Linked DNA regions of Rhinolophus ferrumequinum. The protein of the gene in region 2 binds, or shares a complex with, the protein of the main gene of each other region. Links are inferred from orthologs where the notes say so. Each region holds a gene or a part of one and is shown on either strand. Other genes may lie near its edges. The genes, in order: ING3, bromodomain-containing protein 8, VPS72 and ANP32E.

Region 1 (7,153 bases), on a different chromosome or scaffold from region 2:
GAACCCCAAGACTCAACAGTAAAGGCCTATAAACACTCTGGTTCTTTTAGCTCCAACGTGGAGTTTACTGTTTATTTCTGGCACCTGGGATATTTTTCTCTTGGTTTCAAGCTTTTTTCTTATATGTCTTCCAGAATTTCCATTTATTTTGAAGGAAAGATTTTGTGATGGCTTCATATCCAGTTATCCATCCTTTCTCAATATGCCACCCACTAAACCCTATATAACAACCGCCTCTGTAAAATCTCCTTAACTCTCCACCCCTTAGTCACTTGTCTTCTTTCCCTTTGTCCTCTTCTCCATATTCTTTGTCACAAACACCCAGGAGCCAGGTCTGCAAAGTACAGCCTTCCTTAGAGACGTCTCTTTAGTGGGTATGAGGAGTAGAAAAGCCTGGAACATTCATAGATATGTAAAGTGAAGGCTGTTATCCTGCTGCTTATAACTGATCCAGTGAGTGACTCAATGGACTTTTAAAATGTAAAATTAGAGCGGTTCATGTAAAGACCGCATTTTTTCTTTCTTCCCATGTTTTAGAGGTCTGTCAGAGAGGATACACTGCCTGGCACAAAGTTAAGAACATATTTCATTTCAAAGTTTTACGAGAATATTCAAAGTTTTGAATATTTTCAATAGGAAAGTGGCAGAACCTTAAGACGTAAAGCCAAGGTTTCCCCTGAGGAGATGCTATATGAAGGATTTCAATTTTCCTTTCTCTTGGACTCTTAGTAACACTCATATTTTGCATCCACGTTTTGCATCTGTTCCCTACATTCTGATTCCTCCTCCTTAGCCAGTAGCCCTCAGTGCAGTACTCTTACGGAGCCTCCCTGGATCATTTCTCCGTTGAATGGAGTATGACAGTGGCGATACAACTGTTGTACGTGAGATAATCTTCAGTGGGTCTAGGAGGAGTCCAGCCTCAGAATGACCAGGGGCACAAGGCAAAGCTCAGAGCAGCACGAAGGAGCATTTGAATATGGGTAACTGAGGAGGGGACTTCATGGCATTAATGAGGATGGTACTAGAAGCTGACATTTATTGTGTCGTGACACTCACCATACTTGAACCTAAGTGCTCTGCATAGATGATATCATTTCAATCTAACACACCTATGATTTAGCTACTATTGCTATTTCCAGCTTACAGATCAGGAAATGGAGGCCAAGAGTGTGAAAATAACTTTCTGGAGGTGATACAACTAATGTTAGAGAAGGTGACAGAGAAAGGGGAAAAAATCCAAGGAAGAAAACCTAGAGCTGCTCTGGTAGATCTCAGCACAGCAGCCTGTGGACCACACGATGTATTGTGCTGCAATGAATGCAGTTCTGCCACAGCGCCGTCAGTCTCCACGTCTCCACATTCCAGTTTCAGATCAAAAGAGAGTGCATCTAGTATGCCCAGCTTTGATCTGTCCCTGTTAAATTAATGCATTATGATCAGGGAGCACAGTAATGTAACAGATATGGTCACTCCTGTATATGAGGGGCCTGGCCCAGAAAGGCAGTAGTGGGTGTTAAGTAAGTAGACACTCCAAGTGCTATCTACTATCTGACCTAATGATGTAAGAAGCTATCACACGTGTGTACATACACAATTTTCTGCAGCTGATACAGGGTCCAAGAATAAGAATTACATTAACTAAAATATGTAGTGTTTAGTTTTGTTATTTGTTTAGTTTCTCTACAGTGTGTATGCATGTTCACTGAATTGGGAACCATCTATTATCTCATTTTCCTTAGTATGAAAAACTCCCTGAAGCAGCTCAGTTTACACTGAAAGGATGGACTTCCATTTCTTTTATTTCTGACAGAATTGCATGTTAGCTACTCTGATTGAGCCACCTGCTGAAAACAAAAAATGCTGGGTTAAAAAAAAATCAAATACATTGATGAACTGATAGGAAATGAAGGAATGCTCAGAGGGGGAAAATCAAAAAAGAAGGAATAAAAATGAGAAGAAAATCCTGAGAAATGAGGGAGGGTCAATGTGACTTTTGCCACGAGATTATCAGTCAAATTCTGGGCACCTTGAATTCCTGCTTTAATAGCTGTGCAGATGCCAGGGTCAGGAAATAAAGCCAAGGACCCATGAAAAAGGAGGAGTCTAATAAGAGACAAAACTCTGGGGCCCAAAGGATTACATTCCCAGTGTAAGAGTGATTGAGAAAGAAACCTGATGGTCAGTAAGGAAACACGCCCATCTTGACCTTGGAACTTGGGAAAGGAAGAAGTCTCCCGAGAATCTATAAAATCTGTTCAGATTTGAGACCCAAATTCAATCTATTTGTGCAATCCAATAAACCGGAAGTGGAGAACTTCATCTGGTTCTAGGGTTTATGGTGTCTCCAGGCAACTTGCTGAAGCAAATTTTAATACTCTTTAGGAAAACTCCCTTTTTACTCGGGCCTCAATGAATCCCCATAGTTACCAGCCCAGAAACATGCATGCAGAGTCCAAAATCACAACCTGCACCGAAACAGGCACCATAAGCAAAAGCTTGAAGAAACAGCAGGCAGCACAAAAGACCCATAAAATTCTCAGCATTGAATTTCACAGACACAGAATATAGATTATGCTTAATTTGTATAAGAAATTAGAAAATGACTCAGAAAGAGAACCAAAAAGAACTTCTAAAAATGAAGTGTTTGAAGACTTCCAGGTGGACCATATAGAAAAAAGTTTAAGAGAAACAGAGGCTCTCTATCTTAGAGGTATCCTATAGATACAACGGTTGAGAATTTTCTACAATTGTTGCAGGACACTAATACTGAGATTCAGGAATCTTCTCAAATACTCAGTATGGTTTTAAAAAAAAAAGGAAAGAAAAAGAGAGGGGGAGGGAGGGCTGGAGGAAAGGAGGGAGAGAAGGAGGAAGGAAGGAATCATATCTGTATTGATCATTGTGAAACTGCGACAATATCAGAGATCTTAAAAGCAGCCAGAAGGAAGGAGAGGGAGGGTGGGAGGAAAACTTAAGGCACTGATTTTAGATAAAAGTATAGAAACTAAATGATGTCATCGTTATTAGGGTTAAGTTTTCTCTGGGGTTCATTAATATGACAGGTAAGTATCCTGATTAAGAGCGGTGAAAAAGTCTTGAGAACAAGAAAATGTAAAGGCGGGGTGAAGCAGGTAACACAAATGCAGTGTTTCAACTCCAATGAAAAATATAAATAGAACATTAAATTATGAACTAAAGACAAGTATCCCCGAAACCCGAAGAGAGTTAAGTGGAAAATAACACCCAACCTGTACTGAGTGTCAACGTAGTTAAGACAGAGAAAAACTAAGCAGTGAAGGACTATGTCACGGGTGAACATTCGCGGGGAGGAGTCAAAAGGTAGAAAAAGACAACGCACAGGACTACAGACGTCTAACAAAGGCTATTTACTCAACATAATCTAAAGTTATTGCTAGCACAGCCCATTCACTATTAAGGCTCTATCCGTTATTTCTGCTTGCTCGGTATTTGTTGTTTTGCGGGTGCAGGTTGTACGTATAGATTCATTCCATTAGCGTGACGAGACGGACCGCAACATAGAATATGAGGCTATTGAGGACTATTTTTGCATATTTTAATATGGGAAATACATATTCACTCCATGCTTAAAATAAATTGTTACGTGGAAGCCAACCAGGCGTCCCACTTGTATTTTTAGGATTGGATAGTGAGGATAAATTCTAGCAGCGAGTTCTGTTTGAAACAGTACAAATTGCCCGAACTTTGCTGAATATTCTAGCGCTAGAACCTTTGCTATTTTGCTAGCACTACTTGAAATCCAGACTCAAATGCCGGGGCATGGAATCACAGCAGTAAAGAACAGGTGAAAAGTTGTTCCTAGTTGTGTTACGCAGGCGCATACAACTCCCGTCATGCCCCGTGCAAAAATCAACAAATAAACAGAGGCACCGCATTTCAGATTCCGTTACGCACCGTTCGCTGTGGCGTCTGGTTTTTGTAGTTTCCATGTGAAGAACTGACAGCGTGTTCACTTTTGCTAGGGAGGGAATAGAACTACAGTTCCCACAACAGCGCGGGGGCGGGCTACGGTAGGCTGACGTCATTGCTTCAGCCAACCAATGACAGCTCCGGGCGGCAGTGAGGCAAGCGCCGTCAGGCGCCAAAGTGGTTTTTTTCTCTTTTCTTTTTTTTTTTTTCCCTGCCGAAGCCGAGCGGGCGCTGCTAGCGGAGGCGCCATATTGGAAGGGACAAAACTCCGGCGACAGCGAGTGACACAAATAAACCCCTGGACCCCCTCGTTCCCCCAGCTCTAAAGGCCGCGATGTTGTACCTAGAGGACTATCTGGAAAGTGAGTGGGCGGCGCTGGCGGGGGCCGTCTGTGGGACCTGCGGGCGGGCGAGAGCGCGAGTGGACGGGCGGGATGGCGGGAGGGAGGGGGAGGCGGGGGATGTTTCTTTCTCACGGTAACTGGCAGCCTCGCTGTGGGCTGCCGGCTCCCTCGACCCCCCCCGACGCACGCACGCACGCAGTGACGTAGGCGCGTACTTTCGCCGTTGGCCTCGCCCCTCTGACGGATTCTCCCTTTGGCAGTGATTGAGCAGCTTCCAATGGACCTGCGGGACCGCTTCACTGAGATGCGCGAGATGGACCTGCAGGTGCAGAGTAAGTCGGCGCGTTTACCCTGGTTTGCTGCGCGCGTCAGTGTCAGACTGACTTGCCTTCGACTGCAGCCCCTCAGCTGTTGACTCTCCTGCAGCTCACTGGCTGGGAGTACATAGGAGTTGTCAAAAGGAACTTGCAGTTTGGAATCTTGCCGCCTCTTGCCTCCCAGGCTACTTTTCTCCTGGCTTTTACAAGGGGGAGACATGAGAGCACGTGTGTTCTTTTCTCGAATTTGGGAACGGGCCATACACGTTCCGATACCTTCATGGAGAATGTAGATACATGTTTTAATGCACAGCAGCATAAATGTTGAAATTCTGGCTTTGAACCTTTATGTAGAGAACATAGATTTTAGCATTTGCACTTTTACAGTTCATTCTGTTGAAACATTTTCAAGAGCAGAAAACATCGAAACACTGGTTACATGCCTTTTTTTAGACCCTGGAGTGTCAAATTTGAAGAGTTCGGATACATTGTAGGATACACTCTCTGTTGTCAACAGTATGATATTTTTGTCATTCAAAATGAGTGCAGGAAATAGGATTTTACTGTAAAGCTTCCTGTCTGCTGTAATAAAAATTCTGGCTTTTCTTCTGTCAGTGATAGCTTGACTTTTTCCCAGAACTCACTTGACTTTTTGTAGAGCAGTATTTGGTTTATATGATCATTTTCTTCTGTGAAGTTTCTGAAAAGGGTTTATGATTCAGAGAATGTATGGAATCAGAGCATTTGGAGACAAGAAGGTAAATACTTAGAGTAAACTTATACTTAAAACAAGGAAACACTGAGGAGTACCAGATTTGTGTTCATGTTTTGAAAAAAACCTCACTCGTAAACCTTCTGCCTTTGTGGTGTGAATATAATTTATTTCAACTACCTTGTACAGATATTTAAAATTAAGAATGTGAAATGAATTTTACATAATTAAAATATATAATCAAGGGTACTTTTTTGGCTGTGTGTCACTCCCTTGAAGAAATGTAGGTATCTTAATTAAATTATTTAAATAATAATAATGACTGGCCTTCGTGGGGTATATCCACAGGAGATATGTTTCTTGATCCCATTTATTCCAGCTATGTTTAAGCTATACATAAAATGTTTCTCATGCTGTCAGGTTTTCTTCTTAGAGAAGCAGGGGTGGAGGAATATCTGGGTTTTGGAGTGTGATAGGGAGGAAAGGAGTATCATGAAAAGAGATCAGAGAACCAAACATTCCAGAATGTGGGAGTCTTGACCTAGCTAAGAGCTTGTTGTTTTCTCCCCCTTGCTTCACTGCCTTCCCCACACACATCCATACCTTTGTATGTGAATATACTTTCCCAGATTCTTGTCAGTTTCATGTAGCACATAATACAATGTAATATAATATTGAGAGCCACCTTCTTTTATTCAGTGGATCGCAGTGTGGGAGTCTGAATTGGGTGTTTCTCCAGCTTGCTCTCCAAGTTCATTTTAACTTGAAGGTAGTTGAAATGCTAAAGATTTGCTAAAGTAGTAGTGTTATCTACAGGTTTGAGCACAGATTGTTAATGTCAGTCAGATCTGAGTGCATTTCAGGGCTCTACTGACTTACAGACCTTACATCACCACTTCTGAGGGGTTTTCATCATCTGTAAAATGAGAATCATCTGAGGATTAAAAATAATACAGATAAATTAGTACCTGGTACAAAATAGGCATTCAATAAAGGGTTACTTTTTTTATCCCTTTTCATTATTACAAATTTTAAATTTTCTTGCGTTTTGGACTTAGATTATGTAAATTAGAGGTTTTTTAAACTTGTATTTTTTTAATAGTAATTAGAATTTTCTAAATTTAATAGGTATTATGTATTAACAAAAGATCTCTGTGTCAAGTAAGTTAGGAATGCTTATTTAAACAAAGGAAAATACTTTTAAAATATTAACCATAAGACTTCTCAGAATCTTTAAAGACCTATTACTAACTGAAAATCTCCAAGAGAAGGATATAACAGAAAGCTTTTCCTCAATTTATGTAACAACAGAATTCATTTTATTTTTCCTTTTTTAGCATACATGGAATGAGATGACTATTCTTGGCACACATTTAAGGAAAATCTATATAGAATAAATAATATAGTGTATTAAGTAAATAAATGATTGTAGCTACTACTTTCAACATGATATGAGATTATGGAGGTGTTTAAGGCCATATAGCAAGAGGTTAAAAATCTTTTTATCACTTTTTCTTATTAAAAGAAATGTGCCAATTGTCTAGCGGTGCTTTCAGTAAGAAATTGTGTTTGGCACATTTGGCTGATTTAATACCATTAGTTTTTGACCCTGAGGTTGTACTATTCAGAATCTACTTTGACTATTGGAAAAAGTTTTGAAATAACAACAAAAATAAATGTTCTATAGGGAAAATTGTAACTATTTTTTTATGAAGGTAATTAAGGCATTGTATATTTGCATAATTAAAGCATGACATATTTAAGTTAGTGACCAAGTGAAAGAGTGTATGTTATCAGATAATTGTTTCTTTCGCCAAGTCAAAGCATGT
Region 2 (7,669 bases):
ACTTAACCTGGTTGGTTTGTTTAAAAGAGTTCAGTTTATAATGGGGGGGTGCCCAAAAAACGTATACACATGACTTGTATTCATCTTTTATCAGTATATATTGAATATTACAATTTTAACAAATTTCTTTCTTTCCTAAAATGTGTATACATTTTTTTTAATATCCTCTGTATTTGAGTTGATATATTTAAGTACAATCTGAGATTTATCAAATTAGTGTGATTCATTTTTTCTTGGGGTTTACCATTTATTTTGACTCAAGAACAGCTGCTATCTAGAATATCCTGGTTTCATCTTTGAAAAGTTATTTCGTACATATGTAAAGTCGCAGAAATGCTAACTGTGACCAGTAATGGTGATTTGGAAACTCATCTGAATGGTTAAAGAAGTAGAGATACACCATATAAAAGCAATGTGTACATTAAGTAATTATAAGGCTTAAAACAATTAAAAAGTGTCCTTAGATCCTTAGAAGAGGGGTGGGGGGGAGAGAAAAATGTTAAAAATGAAAAAGAATATATGTCCTGATAGCAAAAAAGATTGGAAACTTACTATCTGGTACTTAAAAAGAAATATCTGGTACTTAAAAAGAAATATTGGGGGGCAGCCGGTTAGCTCAGCTGGGTAGAGCGCGATCCTCGTAACACCAGGGTTGCTAGTTCGATCCCCGCATGGGCCACTGTGAGCTGCACCCTCCACAACTAGATTGAAACGACTACTTGACTTGGAAGTGATGGGTCCTGGAAAACCACACTTAAATAAATAAAAGTTAAAAAAAATAAATATTGGAGTGTCAAGACAATTCAATAGGCAAAGAATAGTCTTTTCAACAAATACTGGGTACTGGGACAGTGGATATCTACACGCAAAAGAGACCCCTGCTTTGGAATATACACAAAATTACCTCAAAATGGATCAAAGATCTAAATGTGTAGAGCTCAAACTATAAAGCTCTTAGAAAACATAAAAATAAATTGTTTCTTAGCTATGACACCAAAGCACAAGCAAAAAGAAAAAATTGGACAAGTCAAAATTAAAAACTTCTGTGCTCTCAACGATACCAATCAAGAATGTGAAAAGACACACAAAACAGGAGAAATATTTTCAAATTATCTGACAAGGGATGTATGTCAGATAATATATAAAGAATTCTGAAAACTAAGTAATAAAAATAAGTAATCCAAAGGATCTGAGCAGACCTTTCTCCAAAGTAGATACACAAATGACTAAAAAATACATGAAAAGATGCTCAACAACATTAGTCGTGAGGAAAATGCACATCAAAACCACAATGATATATTTCATATCCACTAGTATGGCTATAATCAAAAAGACAATCATGTTGTTTAACATACAGAGAAATTGGGCCCTCATTCATTGCTGGTGGGATTGTAAAATTGTGGGGCCACTTTTTGCAGTTCCTCAAAAAGTTAAACACAGACTTACCATATGACCCAGCAATTCCACTCTTTTAATTCAGAGACTAGAAAACATGTCAGCACAAAACCTCATACATAAATGTTCATAGCAGGATTAATTATAATAGTCAACAAAGTGGAAACAACCCAAATGTTCATCAACTGATGAATGGATAAACAAAACGCAGCACACCCATACAGTTATGTACTTATCAAGATTTCATTTATATAAAATGTCCAGAATAGGCAATCTAGAAAGAGAAAGTAGATGAGTGATTAAGCAAGGTGGAGAGGAGATTGTAGAGTGACTGATGGTTGCACAACTCTGTGAATATACTAAATTCTGCGAATCTACTGGGCTAATTTTATAGTCTGTGAATTATATCTCAATAAAGCTGTTAAAAGTAGTAGTGCCTAAAGGTAGTATGATTAACCATAAGCTTCCACTATTATAAAAAAACCCCAACAGTTTCAAAGACCCAAGAAATCAGGCATCCTAGATACATTACCAATTTTGATCTCCACTCCTCATGACAGAAGACGCTAAACACAGCTTCTCTCGGATGGACCATGGTTCTGTGGGGCCAGTACTCAGCAGCTTGTGTTCTGAAAGGAGAGAGGGCTTAAAGGCAACCACTGAGACACTAGTTCTAAGCCCCAAAGGGAGACCTAAACACCTAATACAAAACATCCCAATTCGTACGGACAAAGTGAGCTACTATCATCAAATCTTGATTTTTCACCTCAGATGTCAGATTTAAAATAAAGCTGTACTTCCCAATGGTCCAGTTTTAAGAATACGCACATACTTTATCCCCATTTGAACGCAAGGGTTTTTTCCCCATGATTCCCAGCGGCCACTGCCCTACTGCCCCGCCTCCTTCTTAGCATAAACTTGTTTACTTGTTTCAGCAATTCACCACCCCCCACCCCCACTTTAGTCGTCGGGCCTAAAAGACATTTTCAATCCATGAAACCGAGGAAAATGGCTGAGATGCAAGAAACGCAATTTCCCCAGTGGCAGAAAGGGCTCTTGGTTAAAATATCCCATTTCTGTGGGAGACAGGGTACAGGCCTCACAAACGTTGGTCAGAATATGAATGGCTCTCGGATATGTGGGCCGCTCCGTACGGCTCACAACACGTCTTCGTCTGCACGCCCGAGTCTTCCAGAGCACCTTTGTCGCTCACCCCATACCGCTCCCAAACATACAAGGATTCGCTGAGCTGCTTCTCTCAAATCTCCGCGGCCTCCCTGAGAAACAAAACCCTACAGTTCCGGACGCCCCCAAACATTGGCCTTCACAACGCCGACGAGCGCAGGTCGCTGAAGACCATGGGCTCTCTGGCAAATCATTTCTCCTACTCCCTAAGCGTGTGACAGAAATCTAATGCCTGGCCTCGGCTCTACAAAGGCCTTCCACGCAAAAGCAGCGCAGATACTTACTGCCCGTTCCTGCCGCCATCTTGGCCTCGAAGTCTCCAACCCTCGAGGAAAGACGGCCTGGTAAGGCGGAAACCCGGAGGACTCTGGGCAATAGAGTCCGGGCGTTTGCTTGCGCTGCTTCCTGGGAAATGTAGTCCCCACCCTCCACCCCAAGTAAAACAAGCCCCGTAAACCAATTCTCTTTTGCGCTCCTGGGAAGGAATGTGCTAAAGAAGGACAGAGGATGGCGGCTGAAGCCTCAGGACTTCCTTTAGGGTTTTTAGCAAAGAAATGCCTACGGTTCAAGAAAAAGTGTTAAGCGGGAATTCCAAGTGCCCCAACCCCAAACTCCAACAGTTGGTAACCCGGACCCACTTTAGAGTTGAGAGGTCAAACCGGAATAAAGTTTCTTCCAGTCTCGCCTGCCCCCTTTCCTTGTGCTGATTGGTAACTGCAGTCTTCGCTGTCTGATTGGCGGAACGAACGCAGCGCGTAATTTAAAACATTGTATCAGTAACAAAGGTACACTTCGTGGGGGAAGTTGTGCTCTCCTACCGCCAAAACCCGGGTTCCGCGTCGGTGTGTGAGTGGGCTGGTACCAAAGGAGGAATAAGTGTCTCGTCTTCAGGTGAGTGTGCGACTGTGCTGGAGCCCAGCTGGGGTATTAATTCTTGCCCTCATTGAATAGGCTTTCAGAAAGCCGAGCTGCCGCCATTCCTTTTTTCTTAATACCTCTGTCCTCACTGTGGGCCTGGGGCGAGGCTGGAGAAGGAGCCTAGGGCTACTGACACCACCTCCACAACACGGGTAGGCGAGGCAACCCTACTTGGAACATGACCTGCTTTTAGAGCCGTATCTGTTCATTCCTGTTAGAGGTCGAAATGCCACCTCAGACTGGATTAAATGACTAACTCCTTCTCTTATCCCCTTCCCCTCTGGTAGTTGAAGGGAGAGGAAGTAGGGATTCAGGCAGAAACCAAAGTGTTCTGGGGCAAGGGAATTGTTTCTTACCTAGAATTTTCAGCCTCTCTGTCCCTTAAGGTCCTCCTCCCTACCCACTCTTGTCTCTTTTTAGACCTAAGCTCCCCCTGCTGTCATGTCGCAAGGGATCCTTTCTCCGCCAGCGGGCTTGCTGTCGGATGAGGAGGTCGTAGTCTCCCCCATGTTTGAGTCTACAGCTGCAGATTTGGGATCTGTGGTACGCAAGAACCTGCTGTCAGACTGCTCTGTCATCTCCACCTCCCTGGAGGACAAGCAGCAGGTAAAGGAGTTGGAGAGTGGCTTGGGGGCAAAAAGTGATATCCTCAGCCTACTAGTTGTCTATACTGAAAGTAGTATAAGGTCACTAGCTACTAAAGGGTCTAAGAGATCAATTCAAAATTAAGAGCATGACAAGTAAAAAATGTAGAATTGTTGTCTATAAGAACTGTTGTTTGCATTGCATTAATGAAATCACTCAAGTGCATATTATCAGTTAATCCTACGAGGGAAGGATGATGGTTATTTCTCCTTCACCACGAGGCCCAGACACCAGATCATACTTCCATTAAGTAGGTGGAATGTACAGTCAGGCTTTAGTATCAACTGTAGCTTCTATTTGTGGAGTCTTTCTGCTAGGCTGGGGTTTCTCATTATTGACACTTGGGACCAGATAATTATTTGTTATAGGGATCTGTCCTGTGCATTGTAAGATGTTTAGCAGCACTCCTGGCCTCTACCCCTAAATGTCAGCACCTTCCCTTTTGTAACAACCAAGAAACCTGTCCTGACATTGCTAAATATTCCTTGGGAGGGAAATGGCCTTGATTTGAGAACAACTCTACTTCGGAAAGCTCCTCTTTTATAGAGAAAGTTTCATGAGAGCAGAAGCCTTGATAGTGTCCCTCACTGTGGACTACCAGAGCCTCTTAGAGTTCCTGGGCCATAGTAGGCAGATCTCTAAGTATCTGTTGAAAGAATGAGGTGGGTGCTGTTATTAAGCCCATCTACAGATGAGGAAAGTAAGGCAAAGAATTCAAAGAACTTGTTCAAGTTTCTCATAGTTACTAAATGATGGGATTTGGACTCAATTCAAGTGTGTCCTGCCTCCATGGTGCTTAACTACTGGAATATCATATGCTGATTTTCATCCCAGTCAACCATTTCTAACTCAGATGATGTGGCAAGCCAAGGTTTTGCAGGATACTGAAGAGACAGGAAGGTGATAAAGTAGTGAAAAAGTCCATGTGAGTTGGAATGATTATGGAACAAAAGTGTAGCTGCTGCGGAGACATTTGAGGTGGAATGAGGGTAGCGTTAGCATGATTCTTAGGAACTGCTTATGCTTGCCCATCTGCTCAGAGATAACTGCTGAGATTAATCTAGTAGTTCCGCCCTGGAATTCTGCATAGGTTCCATCTGAGGATACGGAGAAGGTGAAAGTATACCTGAGGGTCAGGCCCTTGTTACCTTCAGAATTAGAACGGCAAGAGGATCAGGTGAGTGTCTGAGGAGGAGGATTCAAGCTGAATGATGCAGTACAGAAGGTTTCCAGGAATGTTTCCTTCTGTGTCAACTGTTTTCTCCCCCTTCTCAGGGTTGTGTCCGTATTGAGAATGTGGAGACCCTTGTTCTACAGGCACCCAAAGACTCCTTTGCCCAGAAGAGCAATGAGCGGGAATTGGCCAAGCCACCCACAAGTTCACCTTCTCCCAGGTATGGAGGTACTGGTTGTGGACAAGGGACCAACATGTAGGGCAGCTTTATTCCCTTTAGAAGGGAAGTTTTTATTTGATTGTTAACTCCTTATATGTGCATGTCTATATATTGGGGGACCCTTGTTATAAGCTAGTCAGTGTGACAAGTACTTTATGTGCATTAAGTCACAACTCTATTATTTTCATTATTGTCCCGATTTTCCTAACAAGGATACTGTGGCTCAGTGAAGGTAATGTTGCTAAAGCCATGTAGCTAGTCAGTAGTAAAGACTTGACTCTATTAGGTTGGTGCAAAAGTAATTGCAGTTTTTGCAATTATTTTTAACCTTTTAAACCGCAATTACTTTTGCACCAACCTAATAGATCCATCTATCTCCAAATCCCATGCTTGTGACTATTATGTTGCCCATTTTTTGTGTAGCATTGGACTTAGTTGAGAGCACTTCTTAAGTATTTGTTAATTTAGATGAAAATGGACTGGTTGAGTCCTCAGTGCTTAGGGAGCAGCTGGCAGCTCTGCAGGATGAAGCTGCTTGAGTATTGTCCAGAGCCAACCACCTAGGAAGAGATGCATCTGCTAGCTCTGCACAGGAGGCAAGTGGGAGATGAAGGATGGGCCTCTGAGAAATTGGGTCTGTCTCTAGATCTTTGGGCCAGAAGTCGGACAATCATCCTTCTTCAACATGACTGTGAAGGAGATGGTAAAGGACGTACTCAAAGGGCAGAACTGGCTTATCTACACATACGGAGTCACCAACTCAGGGAAAACCCACACTATTCAAGGTGAGTAATAGGTCCTCCAGGATTGCTGATTGACCTGTAATGATACAGTGGTACCTCGGTTCGAACGTCTCCATTGACGAACATTTCGGTTTACGAACGCCGTAAATTTTATGCACTTATGGTATCATTAGATAGTAAAATTCATGCTTAATTTGCAGTTTTAGGGGTTGATTTTAAAGGTCTGGAATGGATTAATCCATTTTGCATTATTTTCTATGGGGAACCCATGCCTTGGTTTTCGAACGTTTCAGAACTCGAATAGTCTTTGAAATGGATTATGTTCGAAAACCGAGGTACCACTGTATTGTCTTTGCTTTCTGGTGCTGCCAGCTGAGGGAGAAAGGCACTTACCTCAGCTATCCATCTTTCACATGCTTCCAGGTACTGCCAAGGATGGAGGGATCCTGCCCCGGTCCCTGGCTCTGATCTTCAATAGTGTCCAAGGCCAACTTCATCCAATACCTGATCTGAAGCCCTTGCTCTCCAACGAGGTAATCTGGCTTGACAGCAAGCAGATCCGGCAAGAGGAAATAAAGAAACTGGCCCTACTAAATGGAAGCCTCCAAGAGGTAAAGTATTAGTGTCCACAAATGAGGGGATGGGGGATAAGTCTCTGGAAAGTTTTGTACTTATTTTCTCCCTCGGCCCCTCAGGAGGAGCTGTCTACCTCCTTGAAGAGGAGTGTCTACATTGAAAGTCGGGCGGGTACTAGCACCAGCTTTGACAGTGGCATTGCTGGGCTCTCCTCCTCCAGTCAGTTTACCAGCAGTAGCCAGCTAGATGGTACGTACCATGACTGGGCTCTATGCCAAGTAATAATAGAAACCCACTCCCTGCTCGCAACAGCTGCCAGGGGTACAGGTCAGAGGTTGCAACCTGAGCTCTGCCTGCGGAGGCCCCTGCAGGCCAAAGGGAAGGTGGACTACTCTATCCTGTACATTTGCTTCTTCCCCAGAAACAAGTCACCGATGGGCACAGCCAGACACTGCCCCATAAGTGTCCCTGCAGACATTCGCTTCTTCCATCTGGATTTCCTTCTTTGAGATCTACAATGAAACTGCTTTATGACCTGTTAGAACCACCTAGCCAGCAGCGCAAGAGGCAACTCTGCGGCTATGTGAGGATCAGAATGGCAATCCCTACGTGAAAGGTATGGGAAAGCAGGGAGGCTGGCCATGAACCCTGGAAGGGATTTTGGGAGACCAGGAAAGGTTAGGTGCTCCCATCTTATGTATGTTCTTCTCTCCTTGGTCTCAGATCTCAATTGGATTCATGTTCAGAATGCTGAGGAGGCCTGGAAACTCCTGAAAGTGGGTCGTAAAAACCAGAGCTTTGCCAGCACCCACC
Region 3 (6,836 bases), on a different chromosome or scaffold from region 2:
GCCATATCAGAACAGGTAATGAGCCAGATCTGTCCAGTGGTGTGTCGTTTGCTGAACCCTGCATTAGAGTGTCAAGAATGAAGAGAGCTTGGGCCATGTTGTAAAATACTGGTAGTATTTAGACAGGCAAGAGGGAAGAGGGAACCGTGGGCAGATGGAATAGCGGCAACAAAGCAGGACTGTGGATGGCACGTTCACGGAATAAGCATTTAGACCCAAGTAAAGCAGCTTTATCTCTGGCAAGGAGTCTCCCTAGCTGACTGCCTTTGGCTTCAACACAGCCTCCTCTCAACATTAATAGATTGTCCTATAGGTCTGTAAGATTTGAAAGGAAGGTTGCACTCAATCTATAGAGAAACTTAAATGTCAGGCTAAGAAACATGATTTTAACTTGCAGGCCGGTGCTTCTCAATCCTCTCCCTCTCCTTACTTGTCCCAGCGTTGATAATCACTGTTGAAGCAAACTAAAGTCACTGACAAATATGTCTCATCACTGAGATACAGGTCTCATTCCTCAGGTGTGTTGGGACAAAAAAACAACAGTTGGGTACTACTACGATGTATAGTGGGGAACCACTGAAGATTTGAGGGCAGAGGGAAACTGTGGGTGCGGCGTGTTGTAGAAAGCTCTGGAGGTGATTAAATGGGCTGGAGTAGAGAACATGGAGTACAGCCTAGACTTGCGGTGATGCAGATTAGGGCTAGATGGCAGCCACGTTGGAAAGGAAAGCACAAGAAAACAGTGGGGGCAGGCAAGTCGACTGGGTGGGGCGGCACCTCAAACACGTGGCTCTCTCTTCAAACAGTGATGCAGGCTAATGGGCTAATCTTTGCACACACGCTGCCAAACCAAGCAAATAAGAGACAGCTGACACTCCAAGCCAGCCGGAGTTCTATCTTGCACGGATGACCATCATTTCCTCCCAAGTGATGTCTGGGGAACAGCCTGGGAACACGCTAATCCCCTCAGCTCTAACCTGGTATTAAGTCATCTCACCACAGTCTAGGAGGTCAACTACACATTAGCTTAGGGCCTAATGGAAATGCTTTCACTCGGTTACGGATTTACTACCGTTCCTTTGGCTTTCATCGAGGGTCATTAATAGACATGACTAGGTAAGACAATGTTTTTACATCACCTACCAAACCCGTTACTCTATACGTCTTATATAAGGATGCGATTCTCCCTAGGATTGAATGCTGAATAAATCTGTGTCTCTTAAAGAACTTATATGCTTCTTTCTTACTAAAAAAGAAATTCAGGGTTTGACTGCCAGGAAACTCACAGCTAAATTTAATATCAATTGCTAGGACCATTTCAGCAAAGGCTCCTGGTACAATTACTTCTGATGTGTCTCTATTTTTGCTGTTCCTACTTTTTGTTTATATCGTAAGCCTCCTTAAATCCTTTTTGGAAGCATGATGGGTACATATTAAATAACGACTCGTAAAATGACAGGAATAGGAAAATGGCTTTTGGAAGAGGGATGAGAAAGTTCTATTTTAAACTAGCTGGTTAGGGCTATGTACGTAATGACTCTCCATCAGTCACCAAGTCCTGTGGATTCTGTTGCCTTGATTTCTCTTGAACCCTCCTGTCCATGGGTCTCTGCTCACACTGCCTCTTTCAAACCATTCTCCTCATCACAGAGCAAGCTTCTAAAGTACCAATCTGATCATCTTCTCAGTCCTCTGATGAAGAGCAAAATTCCTTAACAGTCACAAGGCCCTACACAATTTGGCCTATGCCTCACCCTCCATTCTTGCCAATTTTATTCTCCTTCATGGTCTGGAGAATCAGAGTAGATGTGTAGGTTCCAGGCCAGTGCCACAAACATGTAACTCCCTGGACTAACCTTTCTCCTCCGGGCTCCCAGGCCTACTGCTCTTCCTCCAGCCACGGCCTACTTGTCACACTGTCCTCAGCTTAAACATCATGTCCCGCAGAGATACCCATCTCGACCAACAACTCTGGCTCACATGTGTTACCATGGCACCTTATGCTTCCCTTATCACACACTATTTTAACTGACTGTTAACCCAGCGAGGTCGCCCACTGGGGTCTGGAATACAGAAGGACAAAACCGTGTTTTTAATAGTTCCCAGAGGGTTTACCACAGCTGTAGGTACTCAGCACATATTTAAAGGACGGATAGGTTCAATCAATACAGATCTCACGAGTGCCAAGCCAATCCGGACACTGGGCCAGGCACTGGGTTGCATACTGTTGAACAAAACAGACTATCTCTAACCTCACAGCACTTACAAACTAATAGGAAAGTATAAACAAGCTAAGCAAACCTAATTACAAAGAGAAATACGTTCCATGAAGGAAATAAATGAGGACACTTTTTAGGGCAGTCAAGGAAGGATTATCTTAGGAGACGTTTACACTGAGGTTTGAAAGCTGGAAAAGGAATAGGCTAAGCCTACTTTGGGGGGAAGCTTCTTTCTATACTTCAGATGCAAAATCAGCAGTGGGCCGACGAGGATATACCGCATGTCTACGAAGTGCCTGTCGCGTGCCAGACAGCAGAAGCGCGCTGAGAGATGCCACTAGAGGAATAGGAACACAGTGGGTTTCTGCCATACTCCGGGGTGCCCCAGAGAGCTCCTCTCTTCCTGCCCCGTCTAGGACTCCTATGCATCCCCCCGACTCGCCCACTCCGTCTCGAGTATCAACTGACAAGGCTCCGGTCTATTCCCCGCCCCCTTCTTTGTCCGAGGTTTCTCCCTTCAAGACTCCTCTTAGCTTTCTTCCCTCCCTCTTCCTGGGCCCAGCTCTTGCCTCCGTGAAACCCCCATAAGTCGTCTGGTAGAACTCATCTTCCTCCTCTGCCTCCAGGAGCCCAGAAAGCCGGTTCCCCGCGGTCTTCCGAGGGGCCCGGCCCCCAGCCAAACTCATAACGCCTACCGAGACTGCGCCGCCACCAGCGGCCCCTCACCCAGCGCGGTTCTCGGGGCTCGGCGCTCGACACCACTACCTGCGGGGGGCAGGCGGCGGCGGCGGAAATCGGTCGTCTGCAGGCAGAAGCAGCAGAGCGTCGAGGGGCTCCTAGTCCCGCCCCCTAGGCCAGCCCCGCCCACTCCTGCTCATACACCGCCCCCAAGCTCCCTGACCTGCGCGCAGACCTTGCCTATGGAATGATTCGACTCGGTGACACCAAGAGCCCCACTACTCTAAGTCCAAATTTGGGAGTCAACAAATTTTCATTTAGAAGAGGTCAGTCTCATTCTGCTCCAGTCCGTTTTCCACTCTGCTAGTAGGAACCTTTCTAAAAACCGAGATTTTGTCACTCTTCTGCTCAAACGTCTTTAATGGACGTTATATACAGGATAAAGTCCTTAAGGCGGAATAGTAGTGTGGTTAAAGGTAGAGCCTTAGAATCAGCCGGACCTGAGTATGAGTTTGAACTTAGGTCTTCTAGCTGTGTGACTTTGGACAAGTTGCTTTATCCCTCTGAATGTCAGTTTTTTCATCTGTAAAGTAGGACTAGTAATAATAACACCTACTTTGGAATGTTGTTAAGAAGATTAAGAGATATAATCCTTTTAAACTGCTTGGCACTGTATTTAGTGAGCTCATAGGTGTTTAGTAGGTGATAACTATGGCAAATATGGCATTTAAGAGCCTTCATAATTTGTTAATAGCATCTTCCTGCCTTTCTAGCCTCATCTCCTGACACATCATCCTATTCTAGCTTCACTTCCCTAACACCCAATTCTCTGCCATGTCTCCTGCTTTTCCTTCTTCTTAGAATCCCTTTCTTTTCCTGTCTATCTGGCAAAATTCTAATTGTACAGACCAGTGAAGTCTTCTTGCACACTCATTCCTTTTCCTAGAACAGTTCTCATAATCATGGAGATCATACCTCCTTGATTCTCTAGAATAGTTCCAATCTCAAAGAGTCTGTGGTATTGTCTAAGCCTCTGTATCAACTTCTCTTCCCATTTTTTTATTCTGAAAGTATGGTTGTCAAACCATAGCACATGCACACACTCCAAGACGGCACCTATTACATTTTATTCTAATGATTTATGTTTCTGTCTCTCTCATTAGTCTATGATCTTTTTGAGGGTAGGGACTTTATCTTCATCTGTGTATGCCAGGAAACTCTCATAGTGGGACTAAATAATTTTAACGAATGAATTAATGAAGGGCTGTTTGAATAAATTAGGTAACCATCCTCTTATTTTGCCTCTGTGTTGATCTTGGCAGCCCCTAGCCCATCCATTCTGACCTTAGGAACTGTTCAAAGATATGAAGGTCACTTTAATAAAGCTGGTGTGTGAGTGTGTGTGTGTGCTCTATTTCCTTCAAATCTGTATTCGTAGCCATATTTTGAGATCACGAAATTGTCCCCCTTTTCCAAAGTATATATTGGTGAACTCCCTTTTCCGTTTCCTTGGAGGCAGCAAGCCAACATGTCCTGCTCTGCCCCTCCTTCCACACCCTGCCACATCATTGAAGACCTGCTATGCCCGGAATGTTACTGGGCAGAGTGGCTCCATGACTCAGAGCATCCTGGGGATTGAGTGGGAGTGGGGGCAGAGACAAGGTTTGGGGAGAAAAGATGGGAGACACCCCTAGCCCAACTTTAAATGTTGCCTTCATTCATTCATATAGTCAAGAGACATGTGTTGGGCACCTACTCTGTGCCAGGCACTACTCTAGATCCTTGAGATATAAAAATAGATAAGATGTAGTCTTTGCCCTGAAATGTTCACAGTGTTATGAGGGAAACCAACAAGTTAACAGACTGACATAATACAAGGTGGTAGAAGTAACAGTAGCCATTTTCTGGTATAGAAAGGAGAAACAAAGACCCCTAAGAAGCTGCAAAATAAGGATGGATCTCTTTTTTCCGGAAGGCTGAAATAAATTTCATAGATCCAATCCCAGGGAGAAAACCCCATTTGACCTCCTGGTAAGTCAATTATTTGACTATTTCCAATTTAAAAATCAGAAACAGCTTTATCTCTACACCGGCTGATTTCTAAAATAACTCCAGAAATGATAGCAACTCCATGCCTTTTATGGAAACAAGGATAATTTATTCAACAAATATTTATTGAATGCCTATTAGCCAAATCGTATGCTAGATGGTGTGCCCACACCTGTCTATTTTTTGTACTGTTTAATTGGGTGGGGGGTATAGATGTAGGCAATCATAAAATACTTCAACACTACACAATTCCTCTGCTTTGGAATTACAAATGGCAATCCAATCATCTCAGTACCCAAAGGAGAATGAATAATCCAGCAGGTGGCAGCAGGGAAACAATTATTTTACATCTTGACGCTGGAGGGGTAGAAGGTAGAAAGGTCAATGCCTGGGGATAGTCTCTGCCTGGTCAGGTCCTAGGTTCCCTTTTGAAGACCCAGAATATATCCGGATAGAGGATAAACCAGGCCATCTTAGGGTCTACCAAACCTAGGATTTTTTTTCCATTTTCCTTCATTTATTCATTCCACAATAATGAAAGAGCCCCTACTATATGTACAGAGCCACATCAAGAGAGGAGCTGAAGATACAAGGGTAAATCAAACTGGTTGCTCTCCAGCAGTTTAATCTCTTCAGAGAGACACAGTCAGGTCTTCAATCTCCAACCGAGTTCACATCCTCCAGGGCACTTTGTTAAAACTGAGTAGGTACGAAGACTAAAATGGGGATATGCTCTGTGTATCTTCCATCCCTTTTGGAGCACAGATAAACGAGAGTTAGAGGCCAAGGGCTCAGAGCACGGGAAGATTGTGATATGGTTTGATCACTTTCCTTTTTGACAGGTCATCATTTATCATATTTACTGAACTCTGTCACTGTGCCCAGCATTGCGTTTGAGGCCAACGAAGTGTAAGATCTGTTTCGAAAGTCATTCAGAGGAAGGCAGGACACGACATGCACGCACGTTAAACTAAATAGTAAACAAAGCAGTAAAGCTGAAAGAATGCTTGGTGGCATGTGATATTTTGCGATAGTCGACTGCTTAACCTCTCCGACTTGCCCCTGGCGCTTCTATCGGGAGTTCTTCCCTGGGCTGTGAAATTGACAGGGCCCGCCAAGCCGACTCTCATCCCTATCTCAGGCGACGCAACCCAGTCCTTTCAAAGAGCCGAATGGAAATGGACCCACCGAGCCACCGTCGGGGCAGTCTGCGCCCCGGGGCGCGCACGTCTTCAATCCTTGGATTCGTTAGGGCCCGAGGGACCTGCGTCACGTAACTAGTCGCGGCCTCCGGATTGGCTGTGACCCTCTCGGGTCCTCCCTCCCCCCCCACTGAGTGGGCTGGAACGCTGGGAAGGCTGGGCGCATGCGCAGTGCCTGGATTTCACTGGCCGCCCGGAGCGGTGGAGTTGGGCGATAAACAGGCTGTGTGACTAGGGAGGAGGGGGAAGGGGCGCTCGCTCCGCGGGGACTTCTCACGCCCCCTTATTCCTTTACGTGTGATTTGGTCGGGACGTGTGGTCCCGGCCGCCGGCTTGAGCCTACTCTCTTGTGAAAGGGTAAAGTAGCTCTGGCGGAAAGCGGTTCAAGTTGCCGAGAGGGTGCGAGACGCGGGTCGTCCCCCATGCCCGCGGAATGGTGTGTCCCTGAGCTGGTCCAGGAGCCGGCCCGACGTGTCTGAGAGAGGCCCGGGAGGGGGCGGGAGGGGGCCCGCAGAACGCGGGTTCTGTGAAGAGACGTGGGGAAGATTCGACTCCGAGAAGAGGAAGAACCGGATTGAAGGGGAGCGAGGCCGTGAGGGGGAGGGGGCTGCCAAGATGGCGTCGGCCTCCTCTGGGCCGTCGTCGGGCGGGTTTTCGTCGGTGGATTCCGGGGTTCCTGGCTGCACCT
Region 4 (7,980 bases), on a different chromosome or scaffold from region 2:
TAACCTTTTAAATTTAAACTTGGACTAAGAAGCTTAATGCCTGCTTCAAATCACTGATGCATAAAAAATACAACTTTGAAAAAGGTCCCATGTGCCCCTGATGAGAAGGATTCTCAACATCAGGGCCTATTTAGTACCTGGGCTCCTGGAAAAGGATGCAAGGGAGCTTTCCTGAAACAGTAGGGAGAAGAAAGGAAACTGTTTTAGTTTAAACCCCCTTATCTTTGGTTGATAAATGCCCCCATAACTCAAAATTTTCTTGTTACCCTTCGTGAAGAAATGTTAGAAGCTCCTTCTGAGACAGCCCAGCTTTCAGATGTTAACTCTTCTAGTATCAGGCCAAACAGTTCACCCAGAACAATACATCCTTGACAAAATGTTATTGTTTCTCCCTGCCATCCTGGTAGCATTTTTGTGGACTTCACCCCATTCTTGGTGGGGAGGGGCTGGATCCTCTCTATTAGGTCAGAGTTGTAAAACAAAACTTTCTGGTGTGGGCCTAAATGGACTTAAGCAAGGGAGAGAGGGGCAGGAGACCCTGACTCTCCATTCCCAATGCAAAACTATGTTTGAAGTATTTTCAGGGCTAAAAATTAGCAACAAGGAATGCCACCTTCTCTGTTTGAAAATGACTGACATAATGACTTCAATGAGCACAGATGGCATCATGATCTGTTTGGAGATGAGGAAGCCGAGGCCCAGAGGATGAGAATGACTTGCCTGGTGTCACACAGTATGTGGCAGAGCTGGGCCTCCACTCTTTTAAGTCTTCTGACTCCTGGTCTAGCTGAGTGAAGGCGAGAGGGCCACTAGATTTGGTGTCAGAAAACCAGTTCTTCCACTTGAGTAAATAACTGCAGGCCCTGAGACTCCATTAATTTGGATTCTAGAACAATACAATCCACCTTACATGTTTGTCTCAAGGAGGAAAGTGAATAACAAACACGGAAAGTGCTCTTTGTAAACTGTAAAGAGCTATGCAAATACAAGAGACCGTTATTACACCACAGGGGAGGAAGGAGAGGCTGCAAAAAAGCAACGCGTGGCACTCCCCAAAACTGGCAAGGAAGATACCACGATGGGGTGGGTAAAAGAATGGGGCAGGGGGAATCCACTTTTCCAAACGAAGACATAAAAAAGCATTCTAAATGTGTGCTTCTGAGAGACAGCCTTTTCAGTTTTGTTCTTTCTGAAGCCCCTAAAGGGTAGGGCCTAGAAAACTTCAAGCTTTCTCTGGTATGATAGCGACTGTTTCCTCCTGCCTGCTCCTGCCAATTTCTGGGAAACTTTTTTTTAAGCACATAAAGATCTTGGGTTCCCACTCGGCTCACTGGGCAGACCCTACTTCTCATCCTCTATGCTGCTATGCACAGGCACCGCCTCCACCCAAGTCGAAAACAATTATATCCCTGATATGCCAATTCTGGGGTTTAACTCAGAGGCCGCAATTAGCAAGACTCTAGGCGCTCGCCTCTGCGATTAGAAGTGTGAGGTTCCTCGCTGGTCACCGGCCCCACTCTGGCGACCTGCCGCTCTGACCGACGGGAAACCCCACACGGGGCGGGGACTCCCCAAGGAAAATAGGGGTCGCCCTCCAGCCGCCGTTCCCCAGGCGCCTCCGCCCGGGACGGGAAGGGCTGGGTGAAGCAGAGGAGGCGCCCTCAGAAAGGAGGCGGAAACGCCTCCCGCCCGACCCCCGAAAAGTCGACCGCGACCCCGCCTCACGTGGCCCCTCCCAACCCCGTCTCTTTAACTAAAGCGACAGCAGCGAGCGCGCATCATTTAGTTTCGCCGAACCCATCTTTAAAGCACACAACTACCACGACCCATTTGTTGAGTTCTGTGAAACCGTTTCCAGGGATCAAATTCGGAGTTGCGGCCACCACGACATGATACGACCCGCCGAATTTCGTTACCTCGCGGGGGGACGAAGGGGATGACGCCTCGAGTCCCCTCCCCACCTCCGATTACTGCGACGGGTCCCAAAACTTACCCGCGGCCGGACAGCCGGCCGCTGACCCAGATTCCGCCTGGCGGCGGTCGGCGCGCGCCCTTCCCGGGGGAGTGGGCGCCGCCGGCAGCGGGTGGTCGCCGGCTCCCTGAGCGACCCCAGCCCGCGCCCGACGCCCAGGGGCCTTGAGGCCGGGGGCGGCCCCCCCAAAAAAAAAAGTTGTTAGCAGCACTGAAGAAAAGTTGGACTAACTTCTCAGGCAACGATGGCTGCGGCAGGGGCGAGTGGGACTGGGGGGTCGCGCCCACGCCTCCCGCCCCCAGGAGGAGGAACTTGGGGAGCGGAGGGCCCCCCAGCACCCTGCTTCCCGCCCCCACGAGGCCAAGACGCCCGACTCCAAGAGAGGTGAAAGGGACTAAGCCCCCATGCACACACAAAAACGCCCCTAGAAACTTGAACCCTTCGCCATTTTAAGTAAAAGATTTTAATGATTTAAAACTTCAAATTAAATATTTCCCCCCGACCCTAACCCCACGTTGGGGTTGATAAATTACCCCTCCCTACACACCCACCCGGACCCCCCGAAACCCGATTCCCCGAATACAGAGCTGGAGGGGAAGGGGAGGGGGCTGAGTCATCTCACCTCCTCCGGGGCTCTGTTCCTTAACTCCAGGTTAATCCTCTTCTTCATCTCCATGTCCTCCTCCTGCTCTTCTGCTATTACTCTCCTCCCTTACCCTGCCCTGCCTTTCCTGCTACCCCCAACCCTCAAATTGTAAAAGGTTTGGAAATGAATGAAAAGAAACGCAAATATAAACGCCCACCACCACCAGATAGGTGTGGGGGAGAAAGAGAATAGCAAATGGAGTCCAAGGAGTTGGGACTCTAACTCGGCTGCCCCCACCTCCTTGTCCACACACTCGTGCGCGCACTCACACGCGCGCGCGCACTCACACACACACACACACACTCACTCTCACACACACTCACACACACACACCCGCAGTTCCTTCCCCTTCAATGGCTGCTCCGAGACTGAGCCTCCATGACACGGCACCGCCAACCCCCTGGCCTACACTCCACCCACCTCCCGAATGTATTGGTTACTTCTTCAGCATCACACTATTCCATTGGACTACACAAATGTCTATCAGTCTTGAGGGCGGACCTGAACCAGAAACGCTGTGTCTATTGGCTACGACCAAGCGCGCAGTTAACTCCGATAGGTCCAGGAGGGTGTTCGTCCGGAAGAAATGATTTTGAATCCCAGTAGCCCCCCTCCTTTTCTTTGTGTGGTTGGCGCGCTTTCCCTAGGCACGAGGGCGGTTTTGATGCCTGTTTGATTTGTTTTTGGGTTTGGTTTTGTTTTTCTGTTTTTAGTGTTACAGGCAGAAAGCATACTTCTTACGTGCCCAAGTTGCGATACTGGTAACTCAGCACGCACAGCTCCTGCTTTGCCGCCAAGGTGCACAGCAACGTGCACGTCATATAAAAAGCATGCCTTCGTGACACTGCCCTGCTGGGGACAGGCTTCTGGTCCAAAACCAAAGCCGAAATAAAGACGGTATTTTAACTTCCACCCACGAAGGACTGAAAGCAGTTGTGTGAAGTATAAGTTAGGCACCTTTAAACAAATTGTTACTGAGGTAGTTGTTGCTGTAATGAACAATAAGACCTTGGAGGAAAAACAGTACCGGTCTAATGAAAATGAGACATCGATTCGCATATAAATAGTACTGCAGTACCTCTCCAATTTCCCTTTGGTTGGTTTCCATGAAAGTCTACAGATAAAATGTGCTTTTAAAAGTCTGTCAATGTGGGATAGAAAAGAGCAGGGTAAGAATCATTTTTAAAATTTTTGTCTTGAGAGCCTAACTTTTCTTAGCTCTTGATTAAATTCTGTCCTTTTTATTCTCTTACACCATTATCAGGATAAATACCCAAAGACAGTCCATATAATGTGGGGAAGGAAGTGGGTGAATTAGTCTAACCCCTCTCAGAGCTGAGTATTTGCTATTTTTCCAGTTTCTCAGGTTGGAGACCTTAGGTTTTACCAACAGACTCCTAACCACTCCACCACCACGCCTCCTGCCCCCCTACAGAGACACACAGCTCCTCAAATAGGATTATGCTTAAAATATAAATATTTAGTATTTAGCATGTTAACTACTTTAAAGGAAAACAAAATAATCATTGCCTTCTCCTTGCTGTTTCCTTTGAATTCCCTGGAAAGGAAATTTTGTGAAGAGGAAAACAGGGAGAGGGAAAGCTTTTGGAATGAAATAACATCTCTAGGGGGCGATTTGGAGTTAGTTAAGTTTGTTAGTTTTAATCAAGCTAAAGGAAGTGAGGATGATATAAAAACTAAAGCAAAATGGATTAAGGAACATTTCAAGGAAGAGTTGAAAAACAAGGGAAGGAAAAAAAGGGCTAAAAAGAAACCTGAAAGCCCATTTTAGTACCAGCTTGAGAAGAAGTCCTGTGTTCTGATCCCACCGCCACTGCAGAGTCTGGAACTCTGGAATGGCATCCCAAAGAGAGTTCTGGGAAGGAGTACATACAGACTTAGGAGTCATCCAGATACGAGTGATAGTTGAGGCCATGAGAAAAAAAATAAGACGCCCACAAAGCATGTATATAAGACTATCAGGCAAAAGAGAGTAAAACATGGTTGAGGGGAAAAAGAGAAGACAGGGATTGTCTACCAAAATAGTCAAAGAAACAGGTAATAAATAAGGAGGTGAATTTGGGGAGAAAAATGTATGGAAGACAGAGTTTCAACAAGAGGTGATTATTGGGGTTAAATGGTAGGGCTTCTGTATCGGAATACATTAGACAGAATGGAGAGGGTGCTGGAAATACTAAATGTGAGGAAAGGCCATGAATTCGTTTTACCGTTGGCTAGCAGCTTCCGAAAGTACACCATAGTAAGCACAGACAAAGGTCTACCAAAGTGGGCCTTTCTCCCCGTACCTAGTGTCCCCGCCTTTATATCATCTCTCATCTGCATTACCTCAAGACCTTGGAACTTACCTGTTTCCAATCTTAATCAAGAAGACAGGATAAACAAGATGCTGGGGGAGGAGAGATTCCCCATAGGACTGAGAAGAGGTTGGATGAAGAACGTTACCAGGCTAGTACATGGACATATGGAACTAAATGAGGGATGAAAGAATGAAATGCAGTCAGGAGAAAATCCGAACTCATGAACTAGAACGTGTTTTAAAAGGAAGTAATGAGGCAGGGTTTAAATGTTAGAACCAAGAGTGAGGTTCAGTAATCAGGAGGTGGTATGAAAGCAAAGGAGCAAGGAGTGGAATGAGTAAGAGGGTGGTTCAGAACATGCCTTTGATCCACCAATAAGAAGCGTTCACCAGGATATTCTTTAACTCGATGTGTCTTTAAGTTTCAAAAACTAAACTCATCTTCTGCTGCAGAATATCTTCTGTTGCCCGCCAGATCCACTCTTCACTCTGTGACTCAAAACCCCACCGAGTCCTATGACTTGCTGGGTTTGGGGGCGGGGGAGAGGGCTGGCAGGAGACGGGTGGGGGGGGGGGGTTGAAGGGGAGTGAGGTTGGAGTATTCACCCCCCAACTTTCTCAGTGGCAGGTTGTTACAGGAGGGCCTCTACTGAAAGCCACCGATCTAGTCAGGGCTGTGGTGGACACGGAAATGCACGACCCAGATTTTCCTTCAGGAATGAAGAACTGATTCCCCTCAGTGCCGGGATGACCTTCCGCTGTCGGCCCTTGTAGGGGGTTACCTCAGCTGAAGAAAAGTGCCTTGCCCAGGGTTAGACCTCCTTCAACACAGAGATATACAGGCCCGGCCAGCCCTTTGCCCCAACTTAGACTAACTCTGAGGGGTCATTCATCAGCGCTCCAGAGCACCCCCAGGGGCCTGCATTGCCATTCACTTTCTCCCACTGCTTCATCCAGCTTTCTTCTCCTCTCTTCCACAGATATTGAATCCAATATCATCCCCCCAATAAATGTTCTGAATGCTATTTTCATCTCAGAGTCTACTTCCTGAGGAACCCAACATGAGACAATGGCCCTCTCCAAAGATCTACCCCCTGAGGAAGCCCAAACTAACGTATAGGAGAGATCACAGGGAGAAGCCTCTGTGAAGAGAATGAGAGGTACCCACCCAGCCCCCAGCTTCTCCTCCCCCTACTTTTCCAGCTCCAGCCACTGTCTAATTGCAACCACATAAGAAATCCTGAGCCAGAACCACCCAGCTGAGCTCTTTCCAAATTTCTGTTCACAGAAACCATGAGAGGTAATAAAATGATCATTACTGTTTTGAGCCTCTAAATTTGGAGTTGTTTGTTATGCAGCAATAGTAACTGGAACAAGTCCCTAGAACAATTTTTCTGATCAAGTCTCACCAGAGCCATTTTGTTCCATACAAGTCATAGGCATTCTGCTCTTTCTAGCGTTGCTTATGCTGTTCTTCTACCTTAACCAAAACCATTTAACCTTCTCCAAATTCGTAAGACTTATTAAATGTTCTATTCACCCAGCGTTTGCCCTGAGCTGCCTAGCCACATCTTCTACATGTCATTTAATTCTGGTTCGCCCAAACTCACTGAAATTTCCTAGAGAGAAACCAAGTCCGTAGCTTGGTTTTCTCTCAGTACTTGGCACAGTGCTGAGCACACAGTGGGTACTCATGTTTAGTAATTGATTATGTACCAAATAACGCTCAGTTGGCAGTTTAATTCCACACTTCCATTAGGAAATATAGAGGTTGGTTGATGCCTTTTTGGGGAACAGGTGATGGAGTGAGAGTGAAGGATAACTCCAGACTGTTCTTTCTCCTAACTTTTTAACCTTTCCCTTTTCCAAACTAGTTAATTTGCAGTCTCAAGACAAATCTATGGCAGTGCAACTAATGCCAACACACTTTCTCCAGAATTCAAAATGATTTGGAACCACCAGAAATCATTCCTACATGTACCAGGCTAGATGTAATGAAAACTGGCAGAAAAGTTGAAAATCTGTATTTCAACCAATGAGAACTCTCCCAAACCAACCCCATTGTCTCCTCCATGCATCTTAAAGTGGGGTGTGCCTTCAGGTAAAAGGTTAGAGGCTTCCTCTCTAAAGAAACTGATCAGCCTGAGACAAGTCCAGAAATACTCACAAAATGGTAGAAAGTAGCCAGATATCTGTGCCATCTCCTCACCATCAGTCTACCAGTCAACAAGCTTCCATACATGATTACTCACATCTTATTTGTTCTTTCGTTTATTCCTTCTCCTGTACGTTTTTGGTCTATATCATTTTACAGCTGTCTGAAGAATTTATTTCTGTTAAGGCAGGTTTACTAACAATGAATTCCTTCAATTTTTGATTTTCAACGAAGCCATTTTCTTTTCACTTCTGAAGGATAATTGTCATTGAATATAGAATTCTAGGATTTTTCTGGCTTCCTTCAAGTTTTGTTGTTGTTGTTCAGATTTCTATAGTCTGAATATGGCGTATCAAAGTGGTTTTTGGTTGGTTGGTTAGTTGGTTGGGTTGAATTTATCTTTGCTGGATGTCCTCTGTGTTTCTAGGTTCCTGGTTTGCTTTATATAATTAATGTTTGGAAAGTTCTTAGCTACTAATCCTTCAAATATTCCTGTTACATTTTCTTTCTTATCCTTTGTTATTCAAATTACATATACATTACACCTTTCAATACTGCACTATAGTTATTATATGTTCTGGTTTTTTGTTTATTTATTTTCCTTCTCAAGGTGAGAATTTCTATTGACCTATTTATATATCTTAAGTTCACAGATTCTTTCTTGAGTCTTCTTTTTCCCCCCTTCTTGCGCCACCCCCCTCCGCCTCCCACTCCCCACTCCTATTAAAGCCGTTGTTGTAACCAGCTTCTCACACGGTAGCCCACGGCAGCCCAGCTCATGGCAGCTTAGCTCCAGAGGGTGCAGCTCACTGGCCCATGTGGGAATCGAACCCAAGACCTCGGCAGGAGAAGCACAGCGCTCCCACCACTTGAGCCACCTGGCCGGTCCC

What was found.
Region 1: bromodomain-containing protein 8 (region 2) and ING3 share a complex: the UniProt entries of both Homo sapiens proteins name them as parts of the SWR1-like complex. The link is inferred for Rhinolophus ferrumequinum from reciprocal best matches to the Homo sapiens genes BRD8 and ING3.
Region 3: bromodomain-containing protein 8 (region 2) and VPS72 share a complex: the UniProt entries of both Homo sapiens proteins name them as parts of the nuA4-related complex. The link is inferred for Rhinolophus ferrumequinum from reciprocal best matches to the Homo sapiens genes BRD8 and VPS72.
Region 4: bromodomain-containing protein 8 (region 2) and ANP32E share a complex: the UniProt entries of both Homo sapiens proteins name them as parts of the SWR1-like complex. The link is inferred for Rhinolophus ferrumequinum from reciprocal best matches to the Homo sapiens genes BRD8 and ANP32E.

The regions. Positions count from the first base shown.
Region 1 is NC_046309.1:22,924,845-22,931,997, reverse strand, and holds the start of ING3 (inhibitor of growth protein 3), read left to right. Parts: upstream 1-4,147; 5' UTR 4,148-4,285; coding exon 4,286-4,313; intron 4,314-4,555; coding exon 4,556-4,627; intron 4,628-7,153. UniProt on the Homo sapiens protein: Component of the NuA4 histone acetyltransferase (HAT) complex which is involved in transcriptional activation of select genes principally by acetylation of nucleosomal histones H4 and H2A.
Region 2 is NC_046307.1:13,324,638-13,332,306, forward strand, and holds the start of bromodomain-containing protein 8, read right to left. Parts: upstream 3,014-7,669; 5' UTR 2,884-3,013; coding exon 2,865-2,883; intron 2,025-2,864; coding exon 1,928-2,024; intron 1-1,927. UniProt on the Homo sapiens protein: May act as a coactivator during transcriptional activation by hormone-activated nuclear receptors (NR). Isoform 2 stimulates transcriptional activation by AR/DHTR, ESR1/NR3A1, RXRA/NR2B1 and THRB/ERBA2.
Region 3 is NC_046305.1:51,233,137-51,239,972, forward strand, and holds the start of VPS72 (vacuolar protein sorting-associated protein 72 homolog), read right to left. Parts: upstream 3,006-6,836; 5' UTR 2,906-3,005; coding exon 2,789-2,905; intron 1-2,788. Other genes in the region: PIP5K1A (phosphatidylinositol 4-phosphate 5-kinase type-1 alpha), read left to right, coding at 6,764-6,836. UniProt on the Homo sapiens protein: Deposition-and-exchange histone chaperone specific for H2AZ1, specifically chaperones H2AZ1 and deposits it into nucleosomes.
Region 4 is NC_046305.1:50,609,261-50,617,240, forward strand, and holds the start of ANP32E (acidic leucine-rich nuclear phosphoprotein 32 family member E), read right to left. Parts: upstream 3,014-7,980; 5' UTR 2,649-3,013; coding exon 2,595-2,648; intron 865-2,594; exon of another isoform or gene 721-864; intron 1-720. UniProt on the Homo sapiens protein: Histone chaperone that specifically mediates the genome-wide removal of histone H2A.Z/H2AZ1 from the nucleosome: removes H2A.Z/H2AZ1 from its normal sites of deposition, especially from enhancer and insulator regions.